Lepisosteus oculatus: one gene and its partner. The protein of the gene in region 2 purifies or fractionates together with the protein of the main gene of each other region. This does not show direct contact. Links are inferred from orthologs where the notes say so. Each region holds a gene or a part of one and is shown on either strand. Other genes may lie near its edges.

The links. The genes of interacting proteins can lie anywhere in the genome.
Region 1: the proteins of nuclear cap-binding protein subunit 1 (region 2) and protein lin-28 homolog A purify together in Homo sapiens (affinity purification with mass spectrometry; 3 studies listed by BioGRID and IntAct, with this or other methods). This does not show direct contact. The link is inferred for Lepisosteus oculatus from reciprocal best matches to the Homo sapiens genes NCBP1 and LIN28A.

The regions. Positions count from the first base shown.
Region 1 is NC_090706.1:5,681,531-5,688,933, reverse strand, and holds the start of protein lin-28 homolog A, read right to left. Parts: upstream 3,017-7,403; 5' UTR 2,531-3,016; coding exon 2,515-2,530; intron 2,310-2,514; coding exon 2,250-2,309; intron 1-2,249. UniProt on the Homo sapiens protein: RNA-binding protein that inhibits processing of pre-let-7 miRNAs and regulates translation of mRNAs that control developmental timing, pluripotency and metabolism.
Region 2 is NC_090696.1:29,818,944-29,826,659, forward strand, and holds the start of nuclear cap-binding protein subunit 1, read left to right. Parts: upstream 1-4,606; 5' UTR 4,607-4,783; coding exon 4,784-4,817; intron 4,818-5,790; coding exon 5,791-5,879; intron 5,880-6,295; coding exon 6,296-6,396; intron 6,397-7,716. Other genes in the region: thiosulfate sulfurtransferase/rhodanese-like domain-containing protein 2, read right to left, coding at 7-122, 481-586, 1,352-1,474, 1,881-1,989, 2,195-2,502, 3,273-3,425. UniProt on the Homo sapiens protein: Component of the cap-binding complex (CBC), which binds cotranscriptionally to the 5'-cap of pre-mRNAs and is involved in various processes such as pre-mRNA splicing, translation regulation, nonsense-mediated mRNA decay, RNA-mediated gene silencing (RNAi) by microRNAs (miRNAs) and mRNA export.

The sequences.
Region 1 (7,403 bases), on a different chromosome or scaffold from region 2:
CTTTGAGAATCGAACATAGTGGGAAAAAATCGTCTGATTTCACGGGAAAAAGCGGATTAATAGTGGTTTTTATTTGACCAAATCTGATGTATCTGAATAAAAAAAAGGGGACCGTTCCGAACTTAACATTTTAAACAAAAGTACCCCATGTACTGAAGTATTATGGATTAGTATTAAGCCTTGCCACTAGGAAATCAATATATCCTTCCTTTGATTTTCTGTAACCATCAGGTTATTGCAAAACAGCCACCGCAGTGTGCTCCACCATTATATTAAATACGGAAGATTACCTCCATCGCGTCTGGCTGCTGCAGTGGTTGTTACGTTTATTTTTCATCGGCTACTTTAGAACATACATGTTCTAAATTAATTATCGGCTTTAATTATCATGCAACTAGCTATATCTCAAATCTGCAGCAATATACGCTGTAGCAGTTACCACTGCCATTTTAAAACCAGTCAATGGCGTAACATTACATTACAAAAAGGGGTACTCTTCACTCAAAACTGCTTTTTCTATTGGGACACAGTTCTCACGTTTTTAAATTTGACAACATTTTGAGTGAATATCCAATGATATGAAAGAACCACAAGTTAACTGATAAGTCATTAATGGACTACCGCATCGTATGAAAAATATTATATTTGTGGTTGACAAAAAATGAAATAGGATGCAACTTTGCTTTAAACTGGAAAATGAGGGACAATAAAAGCGTTAGTTAATATATCACAACCCAAGAAATTGAATTCATTGTTTTTAGCCCCACGTAAAATATGCGGTTTCAGAAGGAGCCGCCAATAAATCAAAACCTGGCACGAATAATAATTTGTTTGCCAAAATGTTCTTCTTCGTATCAATTGATTTTGACATGCGATCCTTTTTTAATTCGGGTCTAGATGGTAATTAAGGGGAAAAGGAAACACAAATCAATATCCAAACTAGTTTTATGTCCAAAACGAAATAAACTATTTGATGTTGTCGTTTACAGACAAATCTATCAAAAATACGAAATAATGATTGCACGATAAACAGCAGAAGAAATGTTCATGGTCAAATGTTTACAACAGTGCAGTGAAGAAATCAATACATTGATTTATTGAAAAATCCAAACATCCGAAAAAGAGCATTCAGGCACTTCACACACACATCAGTAACGAATGACAATCACCACGTAGCCCCAAAGTAAGATTTTTTTTACATTACTTTAAAATGATCGATACTATGGAAAATATAAAATATCCTTTGTATTATATTTTATAAATAAAATTATACCGAAACGCGCTGTAAAATCGAATCGTTAAAGAGTTAAATATTAGTAAAACGTCAGCTATTTTGAATACATTTTAGGTATTTCAAATTTAATGTATATGTGCAAAAACGTAAGTTAGACAAAACGAATCTAAAAATATAGAAATAGCCTATCAAGCAAAATCTAATTAATTCTGTCGTGTCTTGGGAAATTATTAGTTTAGCACATTTCGTTTTGTAAAAAATGTACGTATTTACTATAGCCATTGTAAGTACAATGTTAAGTAGGCGAAAGTAGAAGAGCAGACAGCCCTGTGAGCAAATTTCGTCTTCCTAAACCGCCTCATCTCAAGCCAACAGAATCATCACACATACGTCTCCAGCAATTTGAGCGGCACGGAATTACGTTTTCGATATTTACACATATTTCTAACTTTTCTTCAAACTCTCTTGAGTGCCATAATCCATATCTGTTGCGCGAAGGAAAACGAGCGGCGCTATCAATTGTTCTCCTCTTCGTGATTCAGCCTTGCAGACAATACTTTAATAGGAAGCTTTCTAAATGAAACACTTAAAATTACGCTTTCGTTCCCAGAAGGCCAAATCATCCTAATTTGTATGACTTCGAAAGCTGATCAAAACGTCTAACTCTTCACTCAGAATTGCTTTTGGTCTTTTGGTTTTCGCAATCGAATAAATATTTTACTTAGGGCTGTTTTGTGTAAAAAAAGTTAAATTGCCTAAGTACAGTATGCTATGCAAGGTGGATCAAAGTTGGGAAAGATGTTTTTTTTTTCATGACTGTTGAGAGGGCATGTGAATAATTCTCGTATCCCTAGAAACACACGTCCGCATGTTGGTGCTCCTAGCCGTGGCACGCGAAGGCATTTTGACTCCCAGCGCACGCGAGCGTGCTGTCGTGGTGACGCGCCGCTCGAGATCCTCGCTGATCGCGTGCGTGTTTCGCACGATAAAAGAAACGCGGCTTTAAGAAACTGACCTGAGCCGGTGTAGTAGCGCCACACCTGGGCAGGAGTCATTAAACCCCGAGAATGCGAACCTGTAACCAAAAAAAAAAAACGCCAACATAGATTAAACGATCCACCTTTGTGTGCCTGTGCGCTTCTTTTAGACAGCTAGCCGAGAGGAGTAATGAGAAAACCACTCTCTGTTGTCGTAGTTAGCATCCATCCTGTAGCTAACTTGGCAGTCCAGTTAAGCTAGATAGATGATTGATTAGACAGATATGCGATGCACGTACTCACCAAAGCACAGGCCCATAGCTGCAAGATAAAATATATCGGGAGACCTAGACCAGAGCCTCAAAATGAAGATTCTTAAGGGACTGGACCGCAAAGATCAGGTTATTCCACAGTGACAAACGCAATCTACAGTTTCAGATGTTTTCATTGCGGGGAAAACAGAAAATAGAATGTTTTTCAATATATGTAAAACCAATATAAAGGGAAACGCAATTGCTTGTCCAATATTACAGAGCTAATCCAGTAAGTAATTCGGTCGCTCCCCCCCAGTCCGAAGAACCGTCTTCTTCCCTCTCTTGATCTCGTGTCTCTCGCTGCCGTCTTTTATACCTGCAGAAGGCGAGCTAGACGACAGGCAGATTTAAATTTGATGTTACAATAATACACCGAGATATTCGTTAACCCCGTGCTGCCGCTGTACGCCTCCGCTTTTAATGACTAATTAATGTAAAACCTCAAAGTGTGAGTTTGCAGATGGCGTCTTCACCCCCCATTGTGCCAAAGGTAGAACCGCCAGCCCCTCAGACAATCAAGGACAATTAAGCCGCATCTGCTTTGGAGGAAAATTTAAGATGCTGGCGATGCGTCACCTCGGAGAGGGCTTGCGGTCGTCGGCTGAGCTGCAACTCACCTGTTGAGGCATAAGGAGACGATTGTTAGGGAAACCCGCAGGGCTGTGTTAGTCAGGCGTGAGTCACATTTTCACCAGGAAAGTTGTAAGCTTTCCGCAAATCCGAAACCACTGGTGAGCTAGCAGTGGCGTTTCTGTCAGCCCCGCTGTACCTGTGTCACAGCTGCTGGTCGTGAACCAAAGAGCCCGCGATGTCGCGGGGGATACATGCCCGATGGTAGCCGTCTGCCCAAATCTGTTTTTCTTATTAAAGAATATTACGCTGTTTCAAATATATTACTGTAGGGAAAACACTGGGCTTCCTCGCCCTGCAAAAAAGGTTCTTTCTTTTCAATCACCGACGCTGACCGAAAATTAGTTTTTTTTTTTCAAGTTGGAGGGGGGAAAGAAATGGAAGAGGCTTAATTATATTATATATAATAATATATATAATTATATATTTTTTGGCGTACATTGCATACAGGGATACTGTCTAGGCATCTTTATTAAGCATTCAATCAAGCTATTGCTTGTCACAAAGTCACAAAGACAATTCCGACAGACATCCAGAACCAGATGAGACAATCTGTTAACCTGCATTATTTTGTCAATGGACCAAGCGTTCACATTGTCGAAGGTTTTTTTTTTAAGTCATGTGTTAAAAGCATTTAAATCCACTAACAAAACTTAGATTGAAGTTTGATACTAAAATGTGCATTATGCTACCACTGAAATTCTTTCTACATTTGTTTGTTTTACTTATATTTTTAAAGGGTTAAAATATTTTAAATTTAATATAACATACAGATTCTTTCTGGCTTCTTTCTGCCTGTGGGAGATAAATAGGACTAATACACTTTTGTACAAATGGCAGGCTTAGAACAGTTTCCATGACAACTCATGGTCCTTCTTTGCCTATAGAAAGAGGAAGTGACCTTTGCCTGACCTTTGTCACATAGAGATGCTTGGAAACAATGCAGCGCGTGCTCAGAAAAGACCTACACTTTCAATGAACGAGGATTCAGATATTACAGCTCAGGAGAACGTCTCCCTAGGTGTCTAATCAGAGCTACCTCTAAAGGACTTTAACAGCCTGTTGAAAGAAACTGGGCACTCTTCAGTCACAGGTACTTTAACTGTAGATCCTTCCTTGTACTAACAGTCACAACCCACATGTATATTTTTTGCTGACCAAGCTTTCACTAAAAGCTAACAAAGGACAAATGGGAGTTTCTCTTTACTTAAACAATAAGAAAAATATAAGCCCATCGTTGGTGATCGGTAAAGAATTTCCTTGTACACAGGTCTGAATAAATGTTTCTCTGCTTTTAAAATGTTTGAGCAACATTTAATGATTGTGGTCATTCCGATTCACACAAATTGCCAGAAACAAAGGGAAATGTTTGACCCCCCTACAAAAGTATGAAAAGTAGCAATGTGTATGCCCATGCCCTCACACTGTGAATCTGATCTGACCAGGCTTACCTGTCATTATAGCATTACATTGTCATGACCATGTCTTACATGATGAAGTGGCCATCAGGTAATGTGTGGAAGCATGGCTTAGGTCCAGGTCACTGCAGATCGGAATAAAAAAGCCAGGAGGAAGTGCTAAAGAGTGCTGTTGTCTGCTTACATTGCACAATTTCACACAACATAACAGCTTTCCCTATGCAATCGATGTAAAGGGGCAGCCCTCCCTTTCCGGCAAGCACACTGGCCAGAACAGATAACAGCCCTGCGTCCACGAATAACAGCCTGTCAAATTCAAGCCCTCCCACCCCTGAACACCAGTAAATAATCAATACACTGATATGGGGCCCCGATCAATTCTCTCATTTAAAAGCGCTCTTCTTGTCTCACACTATTATGCGATGATCCCAGAATTCCCACACCTGCCTGAATCCGATCAGCTTCCGATCTTCTGGGGGCAAAGGGCAGGAAATCCAACAGAGCTAACGGGCCAGTTCGCGATCTCCTGCCCCAGCCGGAGGGGCAGAGGGTGATCCAGTCTCACAATAATGTTTAGGGGATGTAAGTAAATGTGCAATGATATGTTTGTATTGTCAATGACTGTAAACGATGGTATAATAGCTGCTTTCCTAACATTGTAATCAATCTGTTATGCCAATAAAGCTCTTTGAATCTGAAAATTCGAATACAAATCTGATTCTTCTTCCACAGACCCCTCCAGGCTTTAAAATCCTTGCTTTCTAGATCAGAAACGCCTACCATGCAGGATTTTTAAAATGTCACTGACTCACAGGAGTCAATAAGGGACAGAGGATAGTGGCTTGGATGGATTTATAGCAATCCAATCACAAACACCCCTAGATAGGCCAGAACAGCAATACGCCAGCAATTTTTGTCGCCATTTATTTTTCTTAAGGTTTTCCCAGTCCTTTCCGCGATCTGACAAAGAGCAGCATGCCTAACCTGATCTTAATCATTCCTGCCATTTCCAGGCAACGTCTCTCTGGATTGATTGGCTGTTGGATTGGTTGGCAGATCAATGCAAAAACAAATCCGGTCCCATTCATAATGCTGCTAAGTGACTAACCGTTTGGGGGAGAAGAGAAACGCGATCGATAACAGAGGTGTACGACCCTGGCCCTGCCAGCAATGAAACCTGAAAACAGCTGTAGCTGAAGTGCCACGCAATGTTTATTTTCTCTCGTACGAAAAGGAGCAAAAAAAAAAAAAGGCAGTCTCAGCAGGGAAGGCAGTTAATCTTTTGAGAACCTTACAATCCCCCCCCAGCTCGTGTTTCCGGCAGCTAGCAGGAAAAAAGACAATTGCTTACTTACTGGCAAAATCCCCCCTCACCACTCCTCGTGCGCAGTGCAAGAAGGGAACTGAATCAATGTGACAGGCGGCTTCAGAACATTGGACAGCACTGGGAAGCAGGGAAGCAGGGAGAGAAGAGCAGCCTGACCTTCCTGGCATGAGCCAGATCAGTGCGTGTCCAGGACCTGAGGGAGGCTGACTTTGCATGTCCCAGCCGTAGTTTTTCCCCCTCTCTTGAGATTTCTCCTTCTCTTGGGAGCATCCTGCGCTCGACGTGATCAACACAACCCATGCAGCCCCCGTACCGTTAAGAAGACCGCCATGCCCGATGAGGTTTGGATGGTTTTGGAGCTCTGAATACATATGGCCTCTGTCTGATAACAGGGCAGCGGACTGCTTGCTCTGCCTCATTTTCAACCAGCCCGACGTTGCCCATCCTCCCCACAGAACCAACATCGAATGTTTTCTCTCTGCAGCTGCACTTAAATCTCCGTCAACTTATAAAACAACACTCTCATGTTACAGAAGTACTGTATAAGGGCTATTTCAGTCTGTTCAGCAGTGAACAACTCTGCCTCCATTGGTCCCCAGGGACACGTAGATTTAAGTCTTTTCCTTTTCAGTACTTGATTGCATTCAGTAGGTGTTATGTGCTAATAATAAACCACCTTTAGGACGTTCTGCTATTAAGTTAAAATAAAAAATTAAATGAATCCCATTGCTGTGGAAAAAAAAACATTCCTCACATGGGATGAGCTAGTTGCCATTGGAAAATGCCAGATTTCAAGCACATAGAGGAAATAAAATTAAGGAGGTCAAATAAAACTACAACAAATTGCAACAACGTACAGTAGTTAAGATATATTGGTAGTTTCATGTTTTACAAACAGATGAATAATTATTATCTGATTAAAGAAAATCGTCTGCTGAATTAAAACTAAGGACCAAGTTTAACTTCCGCTCCATTCCAACAACATGTTCTGTTGAGTTACTGTTGAAGAGAAGCTAATGTATTCACATTGCAGTCACGAACTTCAAAGCGGCCTCTAAAAGAAAGCCCTAAACTAAAAAGGCTAGCCTAATTATTTAGCGGCGTTCACGTACAGTAACTGTACCACAGCACCCAAATTCAGGATATTTTTTGTTTTCGATCGGTCCGCGGCCGGAAACCGTCGGAAGGTCTAGCGCTCCCTCTCGTGGTTAGAAGGTAGATTATTTCTTGACGCCAAATACAGTCACTGTTCTCCGATTTTCCGAATATCTTCGATCTGTTGATGTTCTTAATGTCAGAAAGTGAAACTGAAATCAAATTTACTGGAGGAAATTTAGCTATCAGATCATACGAAACATCTTTGCTGAGGTTATTTTTCTCTCCTCCTCGACTGCTACACGAATCCCACGTAGACACAAACGGACAAACTCGTCGCAAATGGAGAGAAAAAGGTTCACTAAGACTGCGAGGTGCTCTACTGGGGAGTGTATAATGTTATGAATA
Region 2 (7,716 bases):
ACTCACTATTTTGCTCTCATAAAAGTTCCTGCAGTCCAACAAAATCGTGTCATTGCAAGATTCATATTTAGATAAAAAAGCTTCAACTTCCTTGTGAAACTCCTTTGGTTCTAAGTGGGTTCCTGCACAAAAATGAACACAGATTCAGAATAAAAAAAAAAATTTTACTCCCATTTTACATCCATAAATAGATACACTGCATTCACAAAGGATAAATAGATTTAGAAAAAAGGCTGTATGTTATATACATGTGTATATAATTGTATGTTGGTACAATTAACACAAAGCTTAAATAGCAATGAAACTTTTAAAGATGATCTTTGGCGTCTAGATCTAGAGATATTTGTTTAAACCAAATTTAAACCAAAATTCTAATGTATCTGCGAACAAGACTAGACAGCAAAAACATTTTTTTCTTTTTATATTTAAGGAGACAATAAATCTTGTCACCTTATAATAGCTGTATTTTAATATACTTACCGGCAAGCCTATAAGAGAGTATGTCTGGGTCCACCCCCATGGGGACTATTTCTTTAAACACTCCCACCTTCAGGTCCGGGAAGCAGTGAGCCCCACCCTCACTGGTCTGTCAAGGCACACAGTGTAACCTGGCACATGAGTGGTGAAATACTTGCTGACAAAAAACATCTAGGGCTCTTAACTTTGCAGGTAAAGAGGTCTTAAGGTCCATTGGTGCAAACAAGATGACACCCTTTGCCATAACAAATGGGTCTGATGGTGCAAATAAAGGCCCTTGTGCTTAAGAGGTCTCCAAATTCAATCATTTCAAAGCTTACCGCATAAGAATTAAGACAACCCAAATGCAAAAACCTTTGAAGAGCATATAACAGTTGAACATTTTTCATTTATGTACATTTCCGTTCTTGCTAAAATGCATGGTGAATATAAAAACATAGTTTTAAAAATAAATAATTGTTTCAGCTATTAAACCATGGGATGGATGAGAGCAGATGCTTACATCTCTGTAATAGCGATAAATAGTGAAAATGGATAATCAACATTTCGTGTAGTGTCAATTAAATTATATTTTACTCAATAATATTGATTTAAAATGTCATATATCCTGAGATGTTAAAAAAAACCTGCACAGAACACTGAGAAAACAGTGAATGCCTTTTTAGTCTAAATTAAACCCATTTGAGAGTGTGACTTGGCCTTACACCAGTTAAGTAATTCATCAATTAATTCACCACATGGAAACGTGTCCAGTTTCATATAAAAAGAACTGTGATTACAACCTTATCCCAGTTCTTTATCACCCTAAGATATGTTTTCACTCAATAAGCACATCATTAGAGGAGAAGTAGAAAACAAATTGATATCTTCTTACCTTGAAATCATCCAGGCACATGATTTTGAACACTGGGTGGGAAAGCATTGCCTTAATATATAATCCGGTAGCCACTTTGCTGCCTCCTACTGTTCCATTAATTCCTTCTGTGGCAACTCGAATCTACAGACAAATATAGACGTATGGACTTTGTATGAAAACAAACAGCAATGGCTTTGGGGTGTCAAAGGAGATGACTGAACGAGTGGGACCTGATCTAGTTATCTTGCAGTGAGGGCGCTCGGGATTTTTTCCTAATTACATCACAGAAGTGAATGAAATTTTTTGTGTCGCTTAACAGCCTTGAATGGTAGAAATAAAGGCACTTACAAGTTTAGAACTGGTAGGAAAAGGCACAGGACCAACATACACATACATATAGAGAACAACAAACACTACAGTACAGACTGAAGACAGTACTGAGTGAATTCAAGACCTGATCTCTTGGTATCTTCCTACCTTTGAACTATATCACCTTTGAACTGTGATATATTTTTATAGTGCTTACCCACCTGAACTATCTTCCTACCTTGCCTTTTAGGTGCAATTTTTGGCACAGTGCCTTCTGCCAAGCACAGATTAGGTGGGGTCCCTCCACTTCGCAATAGCAGTAATACAGCAGCACTTCACCTGGTCCCCTGGCCAGAAATAGGGGACAGAACCATGAAAATTCAATATATTCACAAACCAGAGTGACATTTTCACACTGTTTCATTATAACTGCAACAATCCAGACTCACCACCATGCAATAGTGTACGTCTTTCATGTTTTGTAAAACAAATTGGGCTTTTGAACTGTGATATATTTTTATAGTGCTTAAGAACAGAACCAAACATCTTTACCCATCAAGCTCTGCCTCGTTTAAGTAACTGATGTCCGGAAGCCAGAGCTGCATGTCCATTACTTCCACTGCCGCAGGTTGGGCTGACGTGTTGCACTCTTTCACATTGCCTCTGCTCCCCAGGAGCGTCAGTATGGCCTTTGTGTGTTCCTGAATCTCCAAATCATGTGCCCTGGCAACGTGCTTGTGGATGGAAGCAGGATCCTTGAAGGTTTGGTCGCAACACTGCCAGTGCTTGTCTGACTGAGCAGAACGCGAATCTGAACCAGATGCTGAAACTTTCTTCGAGTCCACAAAAGTGGCAAATGCCTTCAAAGAAAAATCACTCAAGTCACCCGTGTTGCATTTACTCGGATACGTCCTCACAGTGAGCATTCAAGCCTGCTCTTTACCACCATTTGCTTTGCTCAATGGAAAATATAATAATAATTACTACTTATGCGTGAGCTTAACAGTCTGTCAGTATGTTACTACATAACATGTTAAAACGTACAGTAAAACCACTTCAATTCAAATGAATTTTGTGTCCAAATCACTATATTCTCTCAACTTGCCATAAAAAACCTACGTCGCTGTGCATACAGTGAGCCAGTGTAGTCACAGAGGGGCGGTACATGAGGTCACTCGATCTCAGCAGCTCCAGAAAGGGCTTCAGTAAACTCTGTCATTATAGTTCTGTGACACTCCCTTGGTCATGGTAAAAAATGTTCTATCAATTCTTTGTGATTAAGTTTGCTAGTACAAGTGATCATGGAAATTACTGGATCCTTATTACCATTTTCTTAAATCAAGAAAACAAATTCTTCAATACTCAAGGGTTTAATATTCAAATATAAAATGATAATCTATTATGAAATGAATTTGTACAGCGACCTGTGTAGCTTTAAAGATGGAAGCTGCACATTGGTGGTGGTAGAGGAGAGTCCCCATTACCTGTAAAGAACTTGAGTGGAGTGTCCAGAAATGTTTTATATAAAATGTAAGAAATTATGAATTATTATGATAAAGATAAAAACAAAAAAGATCTCCCTTCCACACTAAGCAGTAAACCTGAAACCCACCATAAGTGAACATCTTACCCTTTTCTTTGCGTATGGAAACATTTTACGTAAGCTAGCTTCATTTGGGGCTTTTGAGATATTTGGAGTTTTGTTGGTAAAGTTCTCATCATCGAGCTCAGAAAACAACAGAGTGCCAGGTTCATCTTCAAGAATACCAGAGGCTGAAGACATTTTTGATGTTCAAATGGTCTCTTCAGCCTCCTGTAAGAGACAAGAGGAAGGTGAACAGAATTGCTGTTAGAACAGAAATAAAGATATTGCTTTGCCATGTAATAAGCCAAACCAGTCTATGTTAGAAAGGATTACATAAATCTGTGGATTTAATTAACATTCATTAAAAACAGATCACAATTTTAAAGAACTTAAGAAAACACAACCACAAAAAACACAACATCTAAAACATTATAAACAATAAAGCAATAACTTCGAATCTATAAAAAAGTAGTATTTTATTTAGCGCATAATTGTTGTTTCAGTTAATATAAACTGCGGGTAATTATCTGCACTGATTCTGGTTACAATATAATTCTTAATGCTAAGGGTTCCTTCTAAAAACAGCTTCTAAAAAGACATCCAAGATGACTTTCATGAAAGATAAAGGGCAATGGAACTGCAGCCTAAAAGTGAAACTGAATACCAAGAGAAAAGAATAAACAAATGTAAACCAGTAATTTATCCATTTATCCTGAAAGAACGGCACAAGGTAGGACTGAGAACACATCACAGGACCAGGTGTACAACACAGAAATTTCCAACAATTTACGTTTCCTCAACGTGTAAAAACGTTGCGTATAAATATAAATTATGAAACTTCGATTTTCAGTGTGCTTAACTTACTTTTCACGTTAACACATTGCAGAGCATCGTGTTTACTGAGGGGGTATCGTTTATTTTTATGTCTAACTTTGCACGTGTGAAGCACATATAATCAGAGACGGCAAAAAACCCAGAATCAGCTGTTTTATAATACCCTAATTATTCCGGGTCTTTTAGCCCAGAGTTCTCCATATAGTCTGTTCGTAGTACTTGATTCACATTAGATTAAGACAATATTTTTTCTGCCACCATACCACAAAACTACACATCTGTGTGTACACCATGCAACTACTCTCACTAATACAACTAAAATCTCGTAATCATCGTTTTACATCCTCTTTCACGTCTCGTCAGTTTTTAAAAAGGTAACCGAACAGAAAGAAATTGCAAAAGTTATAAAAACTCGTCACACCTTACAGCGTCAGCTCCTACGGAGGACAAATGGCATTACACGCCACTTTACTTGAACCAGGGAAGTGTTTCCTGTGACAGGCCGCCTGTCCTCCGGATGAGATTGTGTTCAACTTCAGCGCCATATTGCGGCGTTTGAGGCTGTGTGTGTGTGTAAGGAGCTGTTGTTTCTAGAGGCGTGTGGAGCGTTTTAACCTAGGCGGATTTCGCGCTGCAAGTACAAGATCAAGACGTTTGAATAAGGGGACCGACTGAACTCTGTTACATCTTTAGAGGATTTACCTTTATAATTAAATTAAAAAATGTCAAGGAGGCGGCACAGTGATGAGAATGATGGTAGGTGGTTTTTGTATTAGTTTTGCAATTGAGGCACTGTCCACTTTTGATACATGGCTGTCCACTATCGATCGATGTGCTGTGAAATTTTGTTGACGTCTCACCAAAGAAAGTGATGCAAAGCAGTTTTTAATTGAGAAAATCGTTATCGGTTATGATATGGCCGGTAATAAAATAAGCCTCGCTATTTTAGTAGGAAGTGAAAAAATAAGCAGAATGCCCATTTTTCCCATTTGGAGCGGTTAAATCGAACTTTGTAAAAGTTAATTGCTGTCTTTCTGATAATGTAATAATAAACTTATGAATTATTCATTTATAGTCGTGTGGAAATAGGTGCATAGAGATCAAAGCTACCGCTCATTCATTTAGGGTGCTTGAATACTTTCTATGGCAGATGTAATGTTTGATTCAAATGTTGCACTTCTGAGCGGGCTTTTTTCTTCCTGCAATACATTAGCTACTCCAAATAGCCCACAAATTACAGTTATCTGTATAGCATATGTATGAACATAAATACGGAAAACATTTGATAATGCAGAGTAGATTGAATGTTGCACATAGACTGTAGGCTACAGCTTTGTTTTCCTTGTGTGTCTAGTAACCAGGGACCGTAAGTAACTTTAAATTAACATGAGTTTTAAAATAATATATTTTTGAGAAGAATACATAAAGTTGTATGATGATTTAAACCACCTTTAATTGTTCTATTACATTTTCTTTTCCTTGTAATTTAAAAATAATTGCCTTGAGTAACATTTTGGCTCATTAAGTTTTTTCCCCCCCTTAGGTTAGCATTGCAATTAGAGCTTAAGTAATCTAACTGGGTCTTCTTGATATAATACAAAATTCTTCAGTTCAGATTTCTCTTGAGATTCTTTCTCCAAGGCAATCTATGTTCTCCTCGCTTTCTTTGAGCATATGCAACTTAGAATGTTGATAAGCATAATGTTTCATATAGTGCTCTTTCTAATAGGAGGGCAACCTCATAAACGGAGAAGAACATCAGAACCCATTGAAATCGAAGATCGTCTTGAGTCACTAATATGCAGAGTAGGCGAAAAGGTAATTTTTACACTTTTTTACAATTGAAATAACACTTTTAATTAATTAAGCTGGTAGTCGTACCATTTACTAATCACAAACTGGGCTTGTTTTTATCTGATAATTTACTTTCTTAAAACATGTTAACCTTTCTTTTCAAAATACTGCCTGCTCACAAGTTGAATGTCGTGGTATTTAAGAATATGGATTTACTGCATTTCCAAGCTTTTGTGAAGCGCTTCCTTACAGCATTGTGTGCATATTGCAGTGTTGTGTATATAACGTTTAGTGGAAACCTGAACTCGATGATCTAGTTAAAGTGTTCTCTGATATATTAGCACACCTAGCCTGTATGTTGCAAAGTGGCAGGTTTTTCAGCAAATCTAACATGGGATTGGATTTGTATCATAACTGTGCTTGAATGTGCCCATCCTTAGAGTACGTCTTCATTGGAAAGCAACTTAGAGGGCCTGGCAGGCGTCCTGGAGGCTGACCTTCCAAATTACAAGAGCAAAATTCTGCGTATCCTATGTGCTGTGTAAGTGTTGCCCTTTGTGTTTTAATTTAAACTTCCATACCTGTGTTTGTGTACTTAAAACATCTCACTGGACACTTTAGATATGCATATACAATATAACTTTGATATTCACAAGGTTTTGCAAAGTACTACATTCACAATTTGGCAGATAAACTAGTCACTAATAAATATCTGCATTTGTGTGGATGAACTTTATTACAGTAAAGTAGTGCTGTATTTATAATAGTAATAAAAACTGTAAAAAAAGGGAAGAAGATACGCTTTATTAAGAATGACAGAAACACTAATGCAGATTAGTTCAGGTGGGTAGCTGCGTCAGCATGTGTAGGCTGCAAAGGAACAAGTAATAGGTTTATTCCATGCTGAAAGAAGAAGAAAGAGAACACAACGTTTCGGCCGTGGAGCCTTCTTTGGGTGTGAGCCTTCTTCACACCTGAAGAAGGCTCCACGGCCAAAACGTTGTGTTTTCTTTCTTCTCTTTTCAGTGTGGAATAAACCTATTACTAATACAGAGTAAGCTGTAATGGTGATCTAATTTATTTGTTTACATTTGCAACAACTTGAAAACAATTTAGTTTACAGTTCATTTTCATTAAATACTTTTTACCGGTAGGTGCTGGCACTATTTCTGAAATTCTTAAGTTAAAAAAAAAACATTACTACAGAAATCCTCTTTTGACACGCTTCGCTGTCCTGTTTTCTCCATTAGGTGTTGCATTCCACATTCGCAAAATCATCATTCTTAGAGTCTTCAGTGTACCTAATGCTCATAAATACTGAGGTTTTGTTGTATGCTATACATATGTTAACAAAAATTTGTTAGATGGCTGAATTGCCTCCTTTCCTTCCTAATCTATCCTTATGTTCAAAGGATAATGGACTTGGATATCAAGGGGTAGATTTTCTTGACAGGCACGTATAACTTTATTGAGAAAGTTGATAGTTATTTTTATTCAGCTAGATTTCATAGCACTACATTTAGGTTTGATAAAGCAACCAGTGAAACGCTAACCCCAAAAACTCATAGGAAAAAATAATAAGTTTAGGGCATAAGATTAGATTGGCTAAATCCTGGAAATGTCTTTCTCAAAAACACTCAGAATCAAGTATGATCAATTTGCATTTTGTTGCAATTTGACAAGCTTTCATGTATGTCTCTGTGTAGGTGTTCTATGTTTAATGCTATGTATTGAGCCTGTTGTTTTATTATTAGGGCTCTGTAAAATACACTTATTAAAAAATATCGATAATATAGTAATAAAAACAAAAAATGGCAGAAACTCAAAACTGTCCATGGTAAAAAAAAGTGTTAATACAACG